Linked DNA regions of Saccharomyces cerevisiae S288C. The gene in region 1 interacts genetically with each later gene. Each region holds a gene or a part of one and is shown in the gene's direction. Other genes may lie near its edges.

Region 1 (5,099 bases):
TCTACTCTTCGTCATTGCCAAAGAAGACGAAGAAACCCTCCTCCTATGTCATGGTTCCCAGACCTTAAAAAAACCAGGATTTTGTGTATTCCCTTGTAAATATATAGATGACAATTGAAAGAACAGCGCTAACAATGTGCGTATTCTAATATAGTGTTTTTTTTTTTTTCCAACTAGAGAAAAAAATGAAAAATGTAAGAGAAACAAAACAGAAGAAACAAGAGAGAATAGCGTCAGGATAGCTCGCTCGATGTGATCAGGCTAACACAATGAACAACGAGACTAGTGGTAAAGAAACGGCGTCTGCACCTCTGTGTTCGCCCAAGTTACCTGTAGAAAAAGTGCAGAGAATAGCCAAGAATGATCCAGAATATATGGACACTTCGGATGACGCATTCGTAGCCACAGCGTTTGCTACAGAATTCTTCGTCCAGGTGCTGACACATGAGTCCCTACATAGGCAACAGCAGCAGCAACAACAACAGGTACCGCCGCTCCCAGATGAACTCACGCTGTCGTACGATGACATCTCTGCCGCAATTGTGCACTCTTCTGACGGCCATCTGCAGTTTTTGAATGATGTGATACCAACAACAAAGAATTTGAGGCTTCTAGTGGAAGAAAACCGAGTTAGATATACTACAAGTGTCATGCCCCCTAATGAAGTTTACTCCGCCTATGTGGTGAACGATACGGCTCCGAAGCCCAACATTGTCGAGATTGATCTTGATAATGACGAAGACGACGACGAAGACGTTACTGATCAAGAATAACTACACAAGCACATTGCATAGAAGGATTTTTCTTCTCTCTCTCACGATCTGTAGAACAACATAGTTTCTTTATACGTTAATTAAGTAAAGGGGAAAAAAAAAATATTAAGCCTTGAATTTAGGAGGTTACAAACGAAAAGGACAAGAAAGACAAAGGAAACCGACAAACCGTTTACTCGATATGGGCTTTTATGAAGGCGATGACAATGATGCCAACACCAAGGCATTTAATGACAAATATATCAAAGATCAAAAGTTCGCAACGGCACCCTTCTGGAACCTCTTTCCAAAGTTAAGGGATATTGATGAATACGATAATCCACTCCTACCACTGCCCTTCAATTTCAACTTCAGAGATCTTGGAGATAGTGCACTTGCCATGGCGTCCGGAATCCCTACGGTGAAGCAGTTTGACAAGTGCGAAGAACTTAAGGGCCAGTCTGCATGGACCACCCAAGGGATTTGGAAATGTCTTGTCCCAAGTAAGGCTATCCCCCCTCTACCACAATTGGACTTCCTCTTACCTCTGGAGGAGATCAAATCTGACAAGTCGCACTCTCATGGGTTGTTCTTCAATGATTTCAACCTCTTTTTGAAGTGGAGGTCGCACATGAATAGACTACAAAAACAAAGAATCAAGACTAGGAGCACTGCCGTAGAGCCTCTGGCTAGAACTCCAGAAGACCTCATGTTGAATTGGGACGACTTGCATCTGGGCAACGATGCTGAATATGCTTCTGCAGATGGATCCAAGAAAATTGTTGGAAGGGCACAGTCCATTAGTACCACGAAGGATTCCAATGATGCAAAACCCAGCACCGTCAAAACTGAAAAAATCTACTTTGACGATGGCACGGTAGACATTACTACCACCACTACCTCCAAGGGTTCCAGTCCCCAGGTGAAGCATAAAGTGGTGAGTGTTGACGAAGACAATTAGGACATATTTTCGTTTCCTTTTTTTACTCATATCTTACACAATATGCCTTGTATATATCGCACGATTATGACCTTGCGCGTGTGGAAAACATGCGACTGCTAAGGGGAGATCCACACACACACACACAAAAGATCAATACACATTTTTGACAATATATAGCATCAATAAAATACATATAAGCGATTCACATAGTTCAATATGAAGGTTGTTAAGGAATTTAGTGTCTGTGGTGGCAGATTGATCAAGTTGTCACATAACTCGAACTCTACCAAGACCAGCATGAACGTCAATATCTATTTGCCTAAGCACTATTACGCCCAAGATTTTCCAAGAAATAAGCGTATCCCAACTGTGTTTTACCTTTCTGGCTTGACGTGCACGCCAGACAACGCCTCTGAGAAGGCTTTTTGGCAGTTTCAAGCTGACAAGTACGGATTTGCAATAGTCTTTCCGGATACGTCCCCACGTGGTGACGAAGTAGCCAATGATCCTGAGGGCTCCTGGGATTTTGGACAGGGCGCCGGATTCTATCTAAATGCCACCCAAGAACCATACGCCCAACATTACCAGATGTACGACTACATTCACAAAGAACTCCCACAAACATTAGATTCTCATTTTAACAAGAACGGTGACGTAAAGCTGGACTTCTTGGACAATGTTGCCATCACAGGCCATTCGATGGGGGGATATGGTGCAATTTGTGGGTATTTGAAGGGCTATTCCGGAAAGAGATACAAATCTTGTTCTGCCTTCGCCCCTATCGTGAACCCTTCCAACGTTCCCTGGGGTCAAAAAGCGTTTAAAGGTTATCTGGGCGAAGAAAAAGCCCAGTGGGAAGCGTACGACCCATGTTTATTAATCAAGAATATTAGACATGTGGGCGACGACAGAATTTTGATCCATGTAGGAGACTCCGATCCCTTTTTGGAAGAACACTTGAAACCGGAATTACTACTTGAGGCGGTGAAAGCCACTTCATGGCAGGACTACGTGGAAATAAAAAAAGTTCACGGCTTTGATCACTCCTATTACTTTGTCAGCACTTTCGTTCCAGAACATGCTGAATTTCATGCGCGAAACTTGGGTTTGATTTGAGAGGCATCGCATTTCATTATGGTAATTTTTATGACTTTTCTATGTACATATTTAGTGAAATATACGTCCGTAGAAAAAAATGGCCAAACATAGTTATCCTTTCAAAGGTTATTCGCAGTAGATTTTATGTCACCTGTAACTTCCATTACTATTGCTATTATGTGGTTAATTGGCATCACATCCGACGAATTTAATAATATGAAATGAAAAAAACGAAAAATAAAAAAATTTCACCTCATCTCATCGATCACTCTGGTCCTGTTGTGGTATCGTTCTTGAAAGTGTATATCAGCCTACATTAGTGCGACAATGACAATGGCAACAACCGCAATGAATGTTAGCGTACCTCCACCAGATGAAGAAGAACAGTTACTAGCCAAATTTGTATTCGGTGATACAACAGATTTACAAGAAAATCTCGCTAAATTTAATGCCGATTTCATTTTCAATGAACAAGAAATGGATGTTGAAGACCAGGAGGATGAGGGATCTGAATCAGATAACAGTGAAGAAGATGAAGCGCAGAACGGTGAATTAGACCATGTTAACAACGATCAGTTATTTTTTGTGGACGATGGTGGTAACGAAGATAGTCAAGATAAGAATGAAGATACCATGGACGTGGATGACGAAGATGACTCTTCAAGCGATGATTATTCTGAGGACTCTGAAGAAGCTGCTTGGATAGATTCGGATGATGAAAAAATTAAAGTGCCTATTCTTGTTACCAATAAGACAAAGAAATTAAGAACCTCCTATAACGAGTCCAAAATCAACGGTGTTCATTACATCAACAGATTGAGATCTCAGTTTGAAAAGATATATCCAAGGCCCAAATGGGTGGACGATGAATCTGATTCTGAATTAGATGACGAAGAAGACGATGAAGAAGAAGGCTCTAATAATGTTATTAATGGAGATATTAATGCTCTAACGAAGATCCTGTCTACTACTTACAATTATAAAGACACTTTATCGAATTCCAAACTATTACCCCCTAAGAAACTTGACATTGTGCGTCTTAAAGATGCAAATGCATCACACCCGTCTCATTCCGCCATACAATCTCTTTCATTCCATCCTTCTAAGCCTCTACTGTTAACGGGTGGGTATGATAAGACCTTAAGAATATATCATATTGACGGGAAAACGAACCATCTAGTGACAAGTTTGCACCTGGTTGGGTCTCCAATACAAACATGTACTTTCTATACTTCTCTATCAAACCAAAATCAACAAAATATATTCACCGCCGGTAGAAGAAGATATATGCATTCCTGGGACTTATCCTTAGAAAATTTAACTCATTCACAGACTGCCAAAATCGAAAAATTTTCCAGATTGTATGGACATGAGTCCACTCAAAGATCATTTGAGAATTTCAAAGTTGCACATTTGCAGAATTCACAAACAAATTCTGTCCATGGAATTGTCCTTTTACAGGGTAATAATGGTTGGATTAACATTTTACATTCCACTTCCGGACTATGGTTAATGGGCTGCAAGATAGAAGGTGTGATAACGGATTTCTGTATCGATTATCAACCTATTTCACGTGGTAAGTTTAGGACCATTTTAATTGCTGTAAACGCGTATGGTGAAGTGTGGGAATTTGACTTGAATAAGAATGGCCATGTTATAAGAAGATGGAAAGACCAAGGTGGCGTGGGTATAACAAAAATCCAAGTTGGTGGTGGGACAACAACTACTTGTCCGGCTCTTCAAATAAGTAAGATAAAGCAAAATAGGTGGCTTGCGGTAGGTAGTGAGAGTGGATTTGTTAATCTTTACGATAGAAATAATGCTATGACCTCGTCGACCCCTACACCTGTCGCCGCCTTGGACCAGCTAACAACTACCATTTCTAATCTACAATTTTCCCCTGATGGTCAAATACTGTGCATGGCATCCCGTGCAGTCAAGGATGCTTTGAGACTAGTTCATCTGCCTTCTTGTAGCGTGTTCAGCAACTGGCCTACCAGCGGGACGCCTTTGGGTAAAGTTACCAGTGTCGCATTTTCGCCATCTGGTGGGCTACTGGCCGTGGGTAACGAACAAGGTAAAGTGAGGCTCTGGAAATTAAACCACTACTAAATTTCCATTTATAGACAAACTTAGATATTAAAAGCAATGTACAAATACATACACAAAATATCACTGTAAAAAAATTGCGAAGAAACTTGAAATTGAATATGATTCTGCCCACTTTTTTCTTGCTGTCATTTATAGTCAGAAATGAAAAATTGTCCGAGAAATTAAATATAATATATGGAAAAAAAGGGGACATT
Region 2 (4,805 bases), on another chromosome or scaffold:
CATGTAACTTTAATGTCAAATAAAGTTTTCACCTAGTAAGCGCGATACAAAAAAAACACAGAAATAGCCATAGGAAAGTGAATTTTGTCAGCCGACTAAAATTAAGGTTAGCTTACAAAGCAGCAAAAAATTTGACATCGCACGGTATTCCCTGAAAAAGGAGCAGGCAGGTGCTGTATATTTTTTTCGGTTCCTGCCTCTTACATGGCGTCGGTGTATCTTAAATACTAAAGTGAGCTGACTACCCTTTTGAGTGCCCTATGTGACCTCTGATCTCGAAAGTAAACAAGAGATACCTAATTTCACAGCCACTTTTTGTTGCGGACACTGACGGGATGTGTTGTGAATATTTTAAACCTTAAAAGTATTTATTGGTTAGTTATACTTAATTCTTATACGTCCTTTAAAACCAGTGTGCAGTAAGTCTGTCACACAAAAATATGATTGATGCATTTTCAAAAAATAATGGCTTTGAGGTAATTCGTTCCACTTTTGAGACTTATTCACATGTCCCAGCTGGGTGCAATCAAAATATACCGGCATTTCAGCAAGGTAACTATATACGCTTTTTTTCTCATGGTTTTTGAAATCATACCTGCCAAGCTTGCTGCACTTGGAAGGCAACTCCGTTTTTCAGAGATTAGATCCTTTTTTTTTTGAAGAAAAGGCAGCCAAGTTACGTCATAGAGAAAACTCCCTAGAGCGCTGCAAACACTTGTTAGTTTGCAGCTTACTTCACGTGTGGCTGGAAAATTGAAAAGTTACAATACGGTAAAAATACTTTGAAGACACTACACTATAACTGCTTGACCAAATTTTTACTCGTGAAAAATTTGTTCCAGCCGGTCTGTTACTGATATTAAGTTAAGGAATAGTAAACCGTATATTTTTCATCCACGTTTTTGTAGTTTATTTTCGGTTTACTAGCTATGCATTGATTGTCTATCAGAGCATATCAAGGTGGTTATGGAGGTGCTGATATTTAATCAATAAAATTATAGAAATTTTGAGAAAACAATAATGATTGTTTCTACAATGAAAATCAGTTCATGGAATAGTTGCCTTCGCACTACTTTTTCACCAGATTAATGGTGCATCAGAGCTTTCCCTTTTTGTCTTTTTCTTGTTTCCTTTTTCGATTGGTTTATCACGTAAGTTTCTTATGACATAAGAAGAGGCAAGAAACGAAAAGGGAAATATTGCCTACTTTTTTCTTTTCGAACGTAAATAATGACGGGATTTTGGTGTCATTTTTTTTCGTCTGGATTTTCTCAGAGAAGTACGTTTCGTCGCACAAGCTAAAATCATTGACAGGGCATGAGTTACGTCAATCTCTGGTCAATCCATGTCCAAAAAAATTTCTTGATTTGTTCAAAGTTTTTGCATAGGCACATTAATTGGTTTAGCGAAGTATACATTCTGAAGAACATTTTTGGGTGTATTTTCCACATAGAAAATTCGATTTTTTTTTTTCAATGCACCACTTGTCGAGTATACGTTAACTTTAATGTATTGAAGATGCAAAAATGAAAAGCCTACTTGGCATATGGAATTACAATAAATGGTCAATTCCTGTTTAAGCTAGCAGCGGCACTGTCGGTGTAAATTTGGGTTTAAACTATTGTTTACTTACTTTGAGAAATTTATGTATCGCCTATATTTTTCAATAAGTGCGATATCTTTAGCTTTCCACAGAACCCCCCCTCAGGCTATGGACGTGCGGTTATATGATCTTCTAATAAAAATCTCTTAGACTACGGTTCATGGAATACTTCTTGACTTCTTGGCGAAGGAAAGGCGCATAAATGTTGTGATCGAATGACCAGTAATACGTCGTTTGTTCTCTTGCTGAACAGCGAGGAAGAGATATTCATCCAAATGCATGAACGCAGAATCCTGTAAAAGTCGTAAAAATGTTAATCGCAATGTTGTAAAAACCGTCAAGGCATTTATCGTTCAAAATGGCGATCATTGTTACTACTAAACACTTACTGTTAAATTAAAAAGCTGATGTTGCGTAATCCATTGACCAATTCATAGGCAATGTATTTCAATGACGCACAAGATTCATAACAAATTTTTTATTTACGATGTACCTGTACATTGTGCAGAAGGTCTTCAGAGTGAGTTTAAGCTAGGCTGTAAATATTTTAATGTTAAGATGAAATTTAAGTGAGCTGGTAATATCAAGTGAGGCATAATTTGTTATATGTAGCTGAACTTCAACTTTAAATAGAAAAATTACAACTAACAAGCACCGGATTGTTTCAGAATTCAAAGTGTAGAAGCTATTATTCTTGCAAAATAAAACGCTTTCAAAGTTTTCTTCTATAAACATACTTGTGGCAGCTTGTTTTTTTTGTTTTATTTTTAAGTTTTGTTGGGTCTCTGAGAACTTTCAAAAAAAGAAAAAGTAAAGTATGATAAAACGGAGCACTTGCCAAAGTAATTAACGCCCATTAAAAAGAAGGCATAGGAGGCATATACATATATATATATATATATATATATGGCTGCTGACAGATATTCTGCACTTAAAAACTAAAAATATTATACCAACTTTTCTTTTTCTTCCCGTTCAGTTTGCTTGATTGGCCCAGCTCTTTGAAGAAAGGAAAAAATGCGGAGAGGGAGCCAATGAGATTTTAAAGGGTATATTACTTATCTTATCGATAAGCAGTATTGATATTAAAGGGACAGTTTTATCGTTGGTTAATATGGAAAAAGTGATGACCATGATGCCTTTCTTAAAAAGAGTATTTCTTTTTATTTCACTTTCACATAAACAGTTAATGACTTCTGACTTTGAGCCGTTCGAACTCAGTTATATAAAGGTACATACATAGGCCACACACACACACACACACACATATATATATATATATAGGGAAGTAGCAACAGTCACCGAAAAGAAAAGGTAAAAAGTAAAAAATGACAAGCGAACCAGAGTTTCAGCAGGCTTACGATGAGATCGTTTCTTCTGTGGAGGATTCCAAAATTTTTGAAAAATTCCCACAGTATAAAAAAGTGTTACCTATTGTTTCTGTCCCGGAGAGGATCATTCAATTCAGGGTCACGTGGGAAAATGATAATGGCGAGCAAGAAGTGGCTCAAGGATACAGGGTGCAGTTCAATTCAGCCAAGGGCCCTTACAAGGGTGGCCTACGCTTCCACCCATCAGTGAACCTGTCTATCCTAAAATTTTTGGGTTTTGAACAGATCTTCAAGAATGCGCTCACTGGGCTAGATATGGGCGGTGGTAAGGGTGGCCTGTGTGTGGACTTGAAAGGCAAGTCTGACAACGAGATCAGAAGGATTTGTTATGCGTTCATGAGAGAACTGAGCAGGCATATTGGTAAGGACACAGACGTGCCCGCAGGAGATATTGGTGTCGGTGGCCGTGAAATTGGCTACCTATTCGGCGCTTACAGATCATACAAGAACTCCTGGGAAGGTGTGTTGACTGGTAAGGGTTTAAACTGGGGTGGCTCACTTATCAGGCCGGAGGCCACCGGGTTCGGCTTAGTTTACTATACGCAAGCAATGATCGATTATGCAACAAACGGCAAGGAGTCGTTTGAGGGCAAACGTGTGACAATCTCCGGAAGTGGCAATGTTGCGCAATATGCAGCTTTGAAAGTGATCGAGCTGGGTGGTATTGTGGTGTCTTTATCCGATTCGAAGGGGTGCATCATCTCTGAGACGGGCATTACTTCTGAGCAAATTCACGATATCGCTTCCGCCAAGATCCGTTTCAAGTCGTTAGAGGAAATCGTTGATGAATACTCTACTTTCAGCGAAAGTAAGATGAAGTACGTTGCAGGAGCACGCCCATGGACGCATGTGAGCAACGTCGACATTGCCTTGCCCTGTGCCACCCAAAACGAGGTCAGTGGTGACGAAGCCAAGGCCCTAGTGGCATCTGGCGTTAAGTTCGTTGCCGAAGGTGCTAACATGGGTTCTACACCCGAGGCTATTTCTGTTTTCGAAACAGCGCGTAGCACTGCAACCAATGCAAAGGATGCAGTTTGGTTTGGGCCACCAAAGGCAGCTAACCTGGGCGGCGTGGCAGTATCCGGTCTGGAAATGGCTCAGAATTCTCAAAAAGTAACTTGGACTGCCGAGCGGGTCGATCAAGAACTAAAGAAGATAATGATCAACTGCTTCAACGACTGCATACAGGCCGCACAAGAGTACTCTACGGAAAAAAATACAAACACCTTGCCATCATTGGTCAAGGGGGCCAACATTGCCAGCTTCGTCATGGTGGCTGACGCAATGCTTGACCAGGGAGACGTTTTTTAGCCGTAAGCGCTATTTTCTTTTTGTTCGTAACTATCTGTGTATGTAGTAGTGTAATCTACTTTTAATTTACTATGCAAATAGGGTTCAGCATTACGGAAGAAACTGAAATCCCTTCCGCGGAAGTTTCTTAGTAGTGGCCGTGCGGGGTGAGGAGATTACATGTCGGTAATTAGATGATTAACCTAGGCAATTTGAAGGGGGATAGTGGCATTGGTTAGCTCAGATATGATAAGGAGAACTAAGCAAGGGGGTTAACCACCACGGCTGTAGCACAAGACCGGCAGATGCGATTATTAGCAACACATTAGTTAATGCTTTTGATAAAATGTATATAAAGGCTGTCGTAATGTGCAGTAGTAAGGACCTGACTGTGTTTGTGGTTCTCTTCATTCTTGAACCTTGTCATTGGTAAAAGACCATCGTCAAGATATTTGAAAGTTAATAGACAGTTAACAATAATAACAACAGCAATAAGAATAACAATAAATTCATTGAACATA
Region 3 (8,474 bases), on another chromosome or scaffold:
TCCACATTGTTTGAAGAAAGAGAAGCCATAGCCTCCCAGAAGGATCCAGAAAGAAGATCCCCTCTTCTACAGTCAATCCTAGGAACCTTCCAAAAATTTCATTTTCTACTGCGTTTACTACATTTCCTCTCAAATCCTAACGAACTTACAATACTGCCTCAATTGACTCCTCGATTTTTCAAGGATTCTTTCAATACAATTTCATGGAATAACCCGTTTTTGCGTAAGCGTCTCAACCAGCATATGTCCCATGACCTACCGAGACAGATGATTAAAGCCGTTGCTGGTGCTTCAGGAATTGTTGCGGAAAATATTGATGAAATTCCAGCTTCCAAACAGGGCACTTCATGCTCGTCAGAAACGTCTCACCATTCACCATCAGCCCCGTTTCAAAGAAGGAGAAGAGGTACCATTTTCTCTAATGTGTCAGGAAGTTCCGATGAGTCTGACACCATATGGTCCAAAAGGAAAAAACCATACCCGCTAAATGAAGAAACTCTAAGCCTTGTAAGGGCCAGGAAGAAGCAGCTTGATGGTAAACTAAAACAAATGATCAAAAGTGCTAATGAATATCTCAGTAACACGGCTAATTTTTCAAAAATGTTGAATTTTGAAATGAATTTCAAAACCTACGAAGAAGTAAGCGGAACAATTCCTATAATTGATATTCTGGAAAACCTAGATTTAACTATTTTTCTAAACTTGAGAGAGTTGGGAGATGAGAATAGAGTTTTTGACGAAGATGTCGCTATTGATGATGAAGATGAAGAGTTTTTGAAACATTCTTTATCATCCCTATCGTATATCTTATCCGACTATTTTAATATGAAGCAATATTTTCATGATGTAGTAGTGAAATTTATAATTGTCGCCCAGCATTTGACATTAGAGGATCCTTTCGTTTTCTCGCCAATGCAAAACGACTTGCCTACCGGTTATTATGAACCAATGAAACCTTCATCCTTGAATTTAGATAATGCCAAGGATAAGAAGAATGGGAGCCAAAATACTGATATCCAAGAGGAGGAAGATGAATATGAGCCAGACCCGGATAGTCTTATTCTCTTCCACAACCTCATCAATCAAGATTCTGATTTCAATGATTTAAAGTTTTTTAATCTCGCCCACGTTTTTAAAAAATCCTGTGATGACTATTTTGATGTGCTTAAACTAGCCATTGAGTTCGTGAATCAATTAATTCTAGAAAGAGAGAATTTGTTAAATTATGCTGCTAGAATGATGAAAAACAATATCACGGAATTGCTATTGCGCGGGGAAGAAGGCTATGGGTCCTATGACGGCGGTGAAACTGCCGAAAAAAGTGACACGAATGCTGTTTATGCAGATTCAGATACTAAAGACAATGACGAATGGCGTGACAGCCAAGTCAAATTACCGAGGTATTTGCAGCGCGAGTATGACAGTGAACTGATTTGGGGCTCTAACAATAGGATTAAAGGTGGTTCTAAACACGCACTGATCTCTTACTTGACAGATAATGAAAAGAAGGATCTATTTTTCGATATTACTTTTTTAATCACTTTCAGAAGCATCTTTACTACAACGGAGTTTTTAAGCTACTTGATTTCGCAATATAATTTGGATCCACCAGAGGATTTGTGCTTTGAAGAATACAATGAATGGGTGACGAAAAAGCTTATACCGGTTAAATGTAGGGTGGTTGAGATTATGACAACCTTTTTCAAGCAATATTGGTTCCTGGGCTATGATGAGCCCGATCTTGCGACCCTAAATCTGGATTATTTTGCGCAAGTAGCAATCAAGGAAAATATAACAGGATCTGTGGAATTACTAAAGGAGGTCAATCAGAAGTTTAAACATGGTAATATACAAGAAGCGACTGCACCAATGAAAACGTTAGATCAACAGATCTGCCAGGACCATTACTCGGGCACTTTATACTCTACCACGGAATCCATTTTGGCCGTCGATCCAGTTTTATTTGCCACTCAATTAACGATACTAGAGCATGAAATTTATTGTGAGATAACCATTTTTGATTGTTTACAAAAAATTTGGAAGAACAAGTATACAAAATCGTATGGGGCTTCACCGGGTTTGAACGAGTTTATCAGTTTTGCCAATAAACTGACAAATTTCATATCCTACTCTGTTGTAAAGGAGGCTGATAAAAGTAAGCGCGCCAAGCTACTCTCTCATTTTATTTTTATCGCAGAATATTGTAGGAAATTCAATAACTTTTCTTCCATGACTGCAATCATTTCAGCATTATATTCTTCACCAATTTATCGTTTAGAGAAAACCTGGCAGGCAGTTATTCCTCAAACGAGAGATCTATTGCAGTCACTGAACAAGTTGATGGATCCCAAGAAAAATTTCATAAATTACAGAAACGAGCTGAAATCTTTACATAGCGCTCCCTGCGTACCGTTTTTCGGCGTTTATTTATCTGATCTAACCTTTACTGATTCCGGAAATCCGGATTATCTTGTCTTGGAACATGGTTTAAAGGGTGTCCATGATGAGAAGAAATATATAAACTTCAACAAAAGGAGCAGACTTGTTGATATCTTACAAGAGATCATATATTTCAAGAAAACACATTATGATTTCACTAAAGATCGGACGGTAATTGAATGTATATCAAATTCATTGGAAAACATCCCCCATATTGAGAAACAATACCAATTATCATTAATTATTGAACCAAAACCAAGAAAGAAAGTCGTTCCGAATTCCAATTCGAATAATAAATCACAAGAAAAATCCAGGGATGACCAAACCGATGAAGGAAAAACATCCACTAAGAAAGACAGATTTCCAAAATTTCAATTACATAAGACAAAGAAAAAAGCTCCCAAGGTTTCTAAGTAACGGCGCCGTATGTTCGATTTCCTTCTCTCGGTGGATTAATTATTTTGTTTGTTTTCTCCTGTTATATTATTTATTGATCACTATAGTAAACTATGTCCGTCATCAAGCCCGACGGCTGCTATCCCACAATGTTGATCGTATTGTTTGCCTAGTTTATTATATATTTGCTTATTTATAGCATACCATAATATTTAAATGCCCTCAAATTTTTGGCCGTAGCGACATCGCGATAATTCCAATTCCCTTTAAAAAATTGCGCCTGAGTATAAGTTAATTCAGCCAGTTCTCCAAATTAAAATCGCATACTCCTGAACCTATCAACAGATTGTCCTCGCATACTTTTCTATACCAAGGTCTCTTCTGAACATATATTAGCAGTGGTTAATTTTAAAGAGATCATAAAGAAAATTTTGTCTAAAAAAGATTAATATAAAGACAATGTCTTCACTAGAAGTGGTAGATGGGTGCCCCTATGGATACCGACCATATCCAGATAGTGGCACAAATGCATTAAATCCATGTTTTATATCAGTAATATCCGCCTGGCAAGCCGTCTTTTTCCTATTGATTGGTAGCTATCAATTGTGGAAACTTTATAAGAACAATAAAGTACCACCCAGATTTAAGAACTTTCCTACATTACCAAGTAAAATCAACAGTCGACATCTAACGCATTTGACCAATGTTTGCTTTCAGTCCACGCTTATAATTTGTGAACTGGCCTTGGTATCCCAATCTAGCGATAGGGTTTATCCATTTATACTAAAGAAGGCTCTGTACTTGAATCTCCTTTTCAATTTGGGTATTTCTCTCCCTACTCAATACTTAGCTTATTTTAAAAGTACATTTTCAATGGGCAACCAGCTTTTCTATTACATGTTTCAAATTCTTCTACAGCTCTTCTTGATATTGCAGAGGTACTATCATGGTTCTAGTAACGAAAGGCTTACTGTTATTAGCGGACAAACTGCTATGATTTTAGAAGTGCTCCTTCTTTTCAATTCTGTGGCAATTTTTATTTATGATCTATGCATTTTTGAGCCAATTAACGAATTATCTGAATACTACAAGAAAAATGGGTGGTATCCCCCCGTTCATGTACTATCCTATATTACATTTATCTGGATGAACAAACTGATTGTGGAAACTTACCGTAACAAGAAAATCAAAGATCCTAACCAGTTACCATTGCCGCCAGTAGATCTGAATATTAAGTCGATAAGTAAGGAATTTAAGGCTAACTGGGAATTGGAAAAATGGTTGAATAGAAATTCTCTTTGGAGGGCCATTTGGAAGTCATTTGGTAGGACTATTTCTGTGGCTATGCTGTATGAAACGACATCTGATTTACTTTCTGTAGTACAGCCCCAGTTTCTACGGATATTCATAGATGGTTTGAACCCGGAAACATCTTCTAAATATCCTCCTTTAAATGGTGTATTTATTGCTCTAACCCTTTTCGTAATCAGCGTGGTTTCTGTGTTCCTCACCAATCAATTTTATATTGGAATTTTTGAGGCTGGTTTGGGGATAAGAGGCTCTTTAGCTTCTTTAGTGTATCAGAAGTCCTTAAGATTGACGCTAGCAGAGCGTAACGAAAAATCTACTGGTGACATCTTAAATTTGATGTCTGTGGATGTGTTAAGGATCCAGCGGTTTTTCGAAAATGCCCAAACCATTATTGGCGCTCCTATTCAGATTATTGTTGTATTAACTTCCCTGTACTGGTTGCTAGGAAAGGCTGTTATTGGAGGGTTGGTTACTATGGCTATTATGATGCCTATCAATGCCTTCTTATCTAGAAAGGTAAAAAAGCTATCAAAAACTCAAATGAAGTATAAGGACATGAGAATCAAGACTATTACAGAGCTTTTGAATGCTATAAAATCTATTAAATTATACGCCTGGGAGGAACCTATGATGGCAAGATTGAATCATGTTCGTAATGATATGGAGTTGAAAAATTTTCGGAAAATTGGTATAGTGAGCAATCTGATATATTTTGCGTGGAATTGTGTACCTTTAATGGTGACATGTTCCACATTTGGCTTATTTTCTTTATTTAGTGATTCTCCGTTATCTCCTGCCATTGTCTTCCCTTCATTATCTTTATTTAATATTTTGAACAGTGCCATCTATTCCGTTCCATCCATGATAAATACCATTATAGAGACAAGCGTTTCTATGGAAAGATTAAAGTCATTCCTACTTAGTGACGAAATTGATGATTCGTTCATCGAACGTATTGATCCTTCAGCGGATGAAAGAGCGTTACCTGCTATAGAGATGAATAATATTACATTTTTATGGAAATCAAAAGAAGTATTAACATCTAGCCAATCTGGAGATAATTTGAGGACAGATGAAGAGTCTATTATCGGATCTTCTCAAATTGCGTTGAAGAATATCGATCATTTTGAAGCAAAAAGGGGTGATTTAGTTTGTGTTGTTGGTCGGGTAGGAGCTGGTAAATCAACATTTTTGAAGGCAATTCTTGGTCAACTTCCTTGCATGAGTGGTTCTAGGGACTCGATACCACCTAAACTGATCATTAGATCATCGTCTGTAGCCTACTGTTCACAAGAATCCTGGATAATGAACGCATCTGTAAGAGAAAACATTCTATTTGGTCACAAGTTCGACCAAGATTATTATGACCTCACTATTAAAGCATGTCAATTGCTACCCGATTTGAAAATACTACCAGATGGTGATGAAACTTTGGTAGGTGAAAAGGGCATTTCCCTATCAGGCGGTCAGAAGGCCCGTCTTTCATTAGCCAGAGCGGTGTACTCGAGAGCAGATATTTATTTGTTGGATGACATTTTATCTGCTGTTGATGCAGAAGTTAGTAAAAATATTATTGAATATGTTTTGATCGGAAAGACGGCTTTATTAAAAAATAAAACAATTATTTTAACTACCAATACTGTATCAATTTTAAAACATTCGCAGATGATATATGCGCTAGAAAACGGTGAAATTGTTGAACAAGGGAATTATGAGGATGTAATGAACCGTAAGAACAATACTTCAAAACTGAAAAAATTACTAGAGGAATTTGATTCTCCGATTGATAATGGAAATGAAAGCGATGTCCAAACTGAACACCGATCCGAAAGTGAAGTGGATGAACCTCTGCAGCTTAAAGTAACTGAATCAGAAACTGAGGATGAGGTTGTTACTGAGAGTGAATTAGAACTAATCAAAGCCAATTCTAGAAGAGCTTCTCTAGCTACGCTAAGACCTAGACCCTTTGTGGGAGCACAATTGGATTCCGTGAAGAAAACGGCGCAAAAGGCCGAGAAGACAGAGGTGGGAAGAGTCAAAACAAAGATTTATCTTGCGTATATTAAGGCTTGTGGAGTTTTAGGTGTTGTTTTATTTTTCTTGTTTATGATATTAACAAGGGTTTTCGACTTAGCAGAGAATTTTTGGTTAAAGTACTGGTCAGAATCTAATGAAAAAAATGGTTCAAATGAAAGGGTTTGGATGTTTGTTGGTGTGTATTCCTTAATCGGAGTAGCATCGGCCGCATTCAATAATTTACGGAGTATTATGATGCTACTGTATTGTTCTATTAGGGGTTCTAAGAAACTGCATGAAAGCATGGCCAAATCTGTAATTAGAAGTCCTATGACTTTCTTTGAGACTACACCAGTTGGAAGGATCATAAACAGGTTCTCATCTGATATGGATGCAGTGGACAGTAATCTACAGTACATTTTCTCCTTTTTTTTCAAATCAATACTAACCTATTTGGTTACTGTTATATTAGTCGGGTACAATATGCCATGGTTTTTAGTGTTCAATATGTTTTTGGTGGTTATCTATATTTACTATCAAACATTTTACATTGTGCTATCTAGGGAGCTAAAAAGATTGATCAGTATATCTTACTCTCCGATTATGTCCTTAATGAGTGAGAGCTTGAACGGTTATTCTATTATTGATGCATACGATCATTTTGAGAGATTCATCTATCTAAATTATGAAAAAATCCAATACAACGTTGATTTTGTCTTCAACTTTAGATCAACGAATAGATGGTTATCCGTGAGATTGCAAACTATTGGTGCTACAATTGTTTTGGCTACTGCAATCTTAGCACTAGCAACAATGAATACTAAAAGGCAACTAAGTTCGGGTATGGTTGGTCTACTAATGAGCTATTCATTAGAGGTTACAGGTTCATTGACTTGGATTGTAAGGACAACTGTGACGATTGAAACCAACATTGTATCAGTGGAGAGAATTGTTGAGTACTGCGAATTACCACCTGAAGCACAGTCCATTAACCCTGAAAAGAGGCCAGATGAAAATTGGCCATCAAAGGGTGGTATTGAATTCAAAAACTATTCCACAAAATACAGAGAAAATTTGGATCCAGTGCTGAATAATATTAACGTGAAGATTGAGCCATGTGAAAAGGTTGGGATTGTTGGCAGAACAGGTGCAGGGAAGTCTACACTGAGCCTGGCATTATTTAGAATACTAGAACCTACCGAAGGTAAAATTATTATTGACGGCATTGATATATCCGACATAGGTCTGTTCGATTTAAGAAGCCATTTGGCAATTATTCCTCAGGATGCACAAGCTTTTGAAGGTACAGTAAAGACCAATTTGGACCCTTTCAATCGTTATTCAGAAGATGAACTTAAAAGGGCTGTTGAGCAGGCACATTTAAAGCCTCATCTGGAAAAAATGCTGCACAGTAAACCAAGAGGTGATGATTCTAATGAAGAGGATGGCAATGTTAATGATATTCTGGATGTCAAGATTAATGAGAACGGTAGTAACTTGTCAGTGGGGCAAAGACAACTACTATGTTTGGCAAGAGCGCTGCTAAACCGTTCCAAAATATTGGTCCTTGATGAAGCAACGGCTTCTGTGGATATGGAAACCGATAAAATTATCCAAGACACTATAAGAAGAGAATTTAAGGACCGTACCATCTTAACAATTGCACATCGTATCGACACTGTATTGGACAGTGATAAGATAATTGTTCTTGACCAGGGTAGTGTGAGGGAATTCGATTCACCCTCGAAATTGTTATCCGATAAAACGTCTATTTTTTACAGTCTTTGTGAGAAAGGTGGGTATTTGAAATAATGACATTGATTATTATATATGAAGATATAGAACATTTAATGCGCTGCAATATGTACGGTCACGCCAATTCTTTTTCTTTCTATATGCTTTCTAGTAACCCGGGTAATCACAAATGAAGCTAGTAGAGATATAACTAAATACAACTTAATTTTAACCTTATGTTGGATTGCTCAAGCAGTGTTCGAGAAAGACAGCGGCAGACAGATAGAAATGAGCTCAAATGAAGAGGTATTTACTCAGATAAACGCAACTGCGAATGTGGTTGATAATAAGAAGCGTTTACTTTTCGTGCAAGATAGCTCAGCACTTGTTCTAGGGCTTGTTGCAGGATTTTTGCAAATCGAGTCAGTCCATGGGTTTATTTGGTTCCTGATTCTGTACAACTTGATTAATGTCATTTACATTGTTTGGATCTGTCAACTTCAACCAGGAAAGTTCTACCAAAGCCCACTTCATGACATTTTTTTCGAATCGTTTTTTAGAGAGATAACTGGTTTTGT

What was found.
Region 2: mutations in YJL068C (region 1) and GDH3 together harm fitness more than expected from each alone (negative genetic interaction), as found in Saccharomyces cerevisiae (2 studies listed by BioGRID).
Region 3: mutations in YJL068C (region 1) and BPT1 together harm fitness more than expected from each alone (negative genetic interaction), as found in Saccharomyces cerevisiae (2 studies listed by BioGRID).

What each region holds. Positions count from the first base shown.
Region 1 is NC_001142.9:310,728-315,826, reverse strand, and holds YJL068C (S-formylglutathione hydrolase), read left to right. Parts: upstream 1-1,911; coding exon 1,912-2,811; downstream 2,812-5,099. Other genes in the region: mitochondrial 54S ribosomal protein bL17m MRPL8, read left to right, coding at 1-68; DLS1 (Dls1p), read left to right, coding at 270-773; MPM1 (Mpm1p), read left to right, coding at 955-1,713; UTP18 (Utp18p), read left to right, coding at 3,121-4,905. UniProt on the Saccharomyces cerevisiae protein: Serine hydrolase involved in the detoxification of formaldehyde.
Region 2 is NC_001133.9:28,636-33,440, forward strand, and holds GDH3 (glutamate dehydrogenase (NADP(+)) GDH3), read left to right. Parts: upstream 1-2,931; coding exon 2,932-4,305; downstream 4,306-4,805.
Region 3 is NC_001144.5:113,138-121,611, forward strand, and holds BPT1 (ATP-binding cassette bilirubin transporter BPT1), read left to right. Parts: upstream 1-3,294; coding exon 3,295-7,974; downstream 7,975-8,474. Other genes in the region: EMC6 (Emc6p), read left to right, coding at 8,185-8,474. UniProt on the Saccharomyces cerevisiae protein: Cooperates for the ATP-dependent vacuolar transport of bilirubin and glutathione conjugates.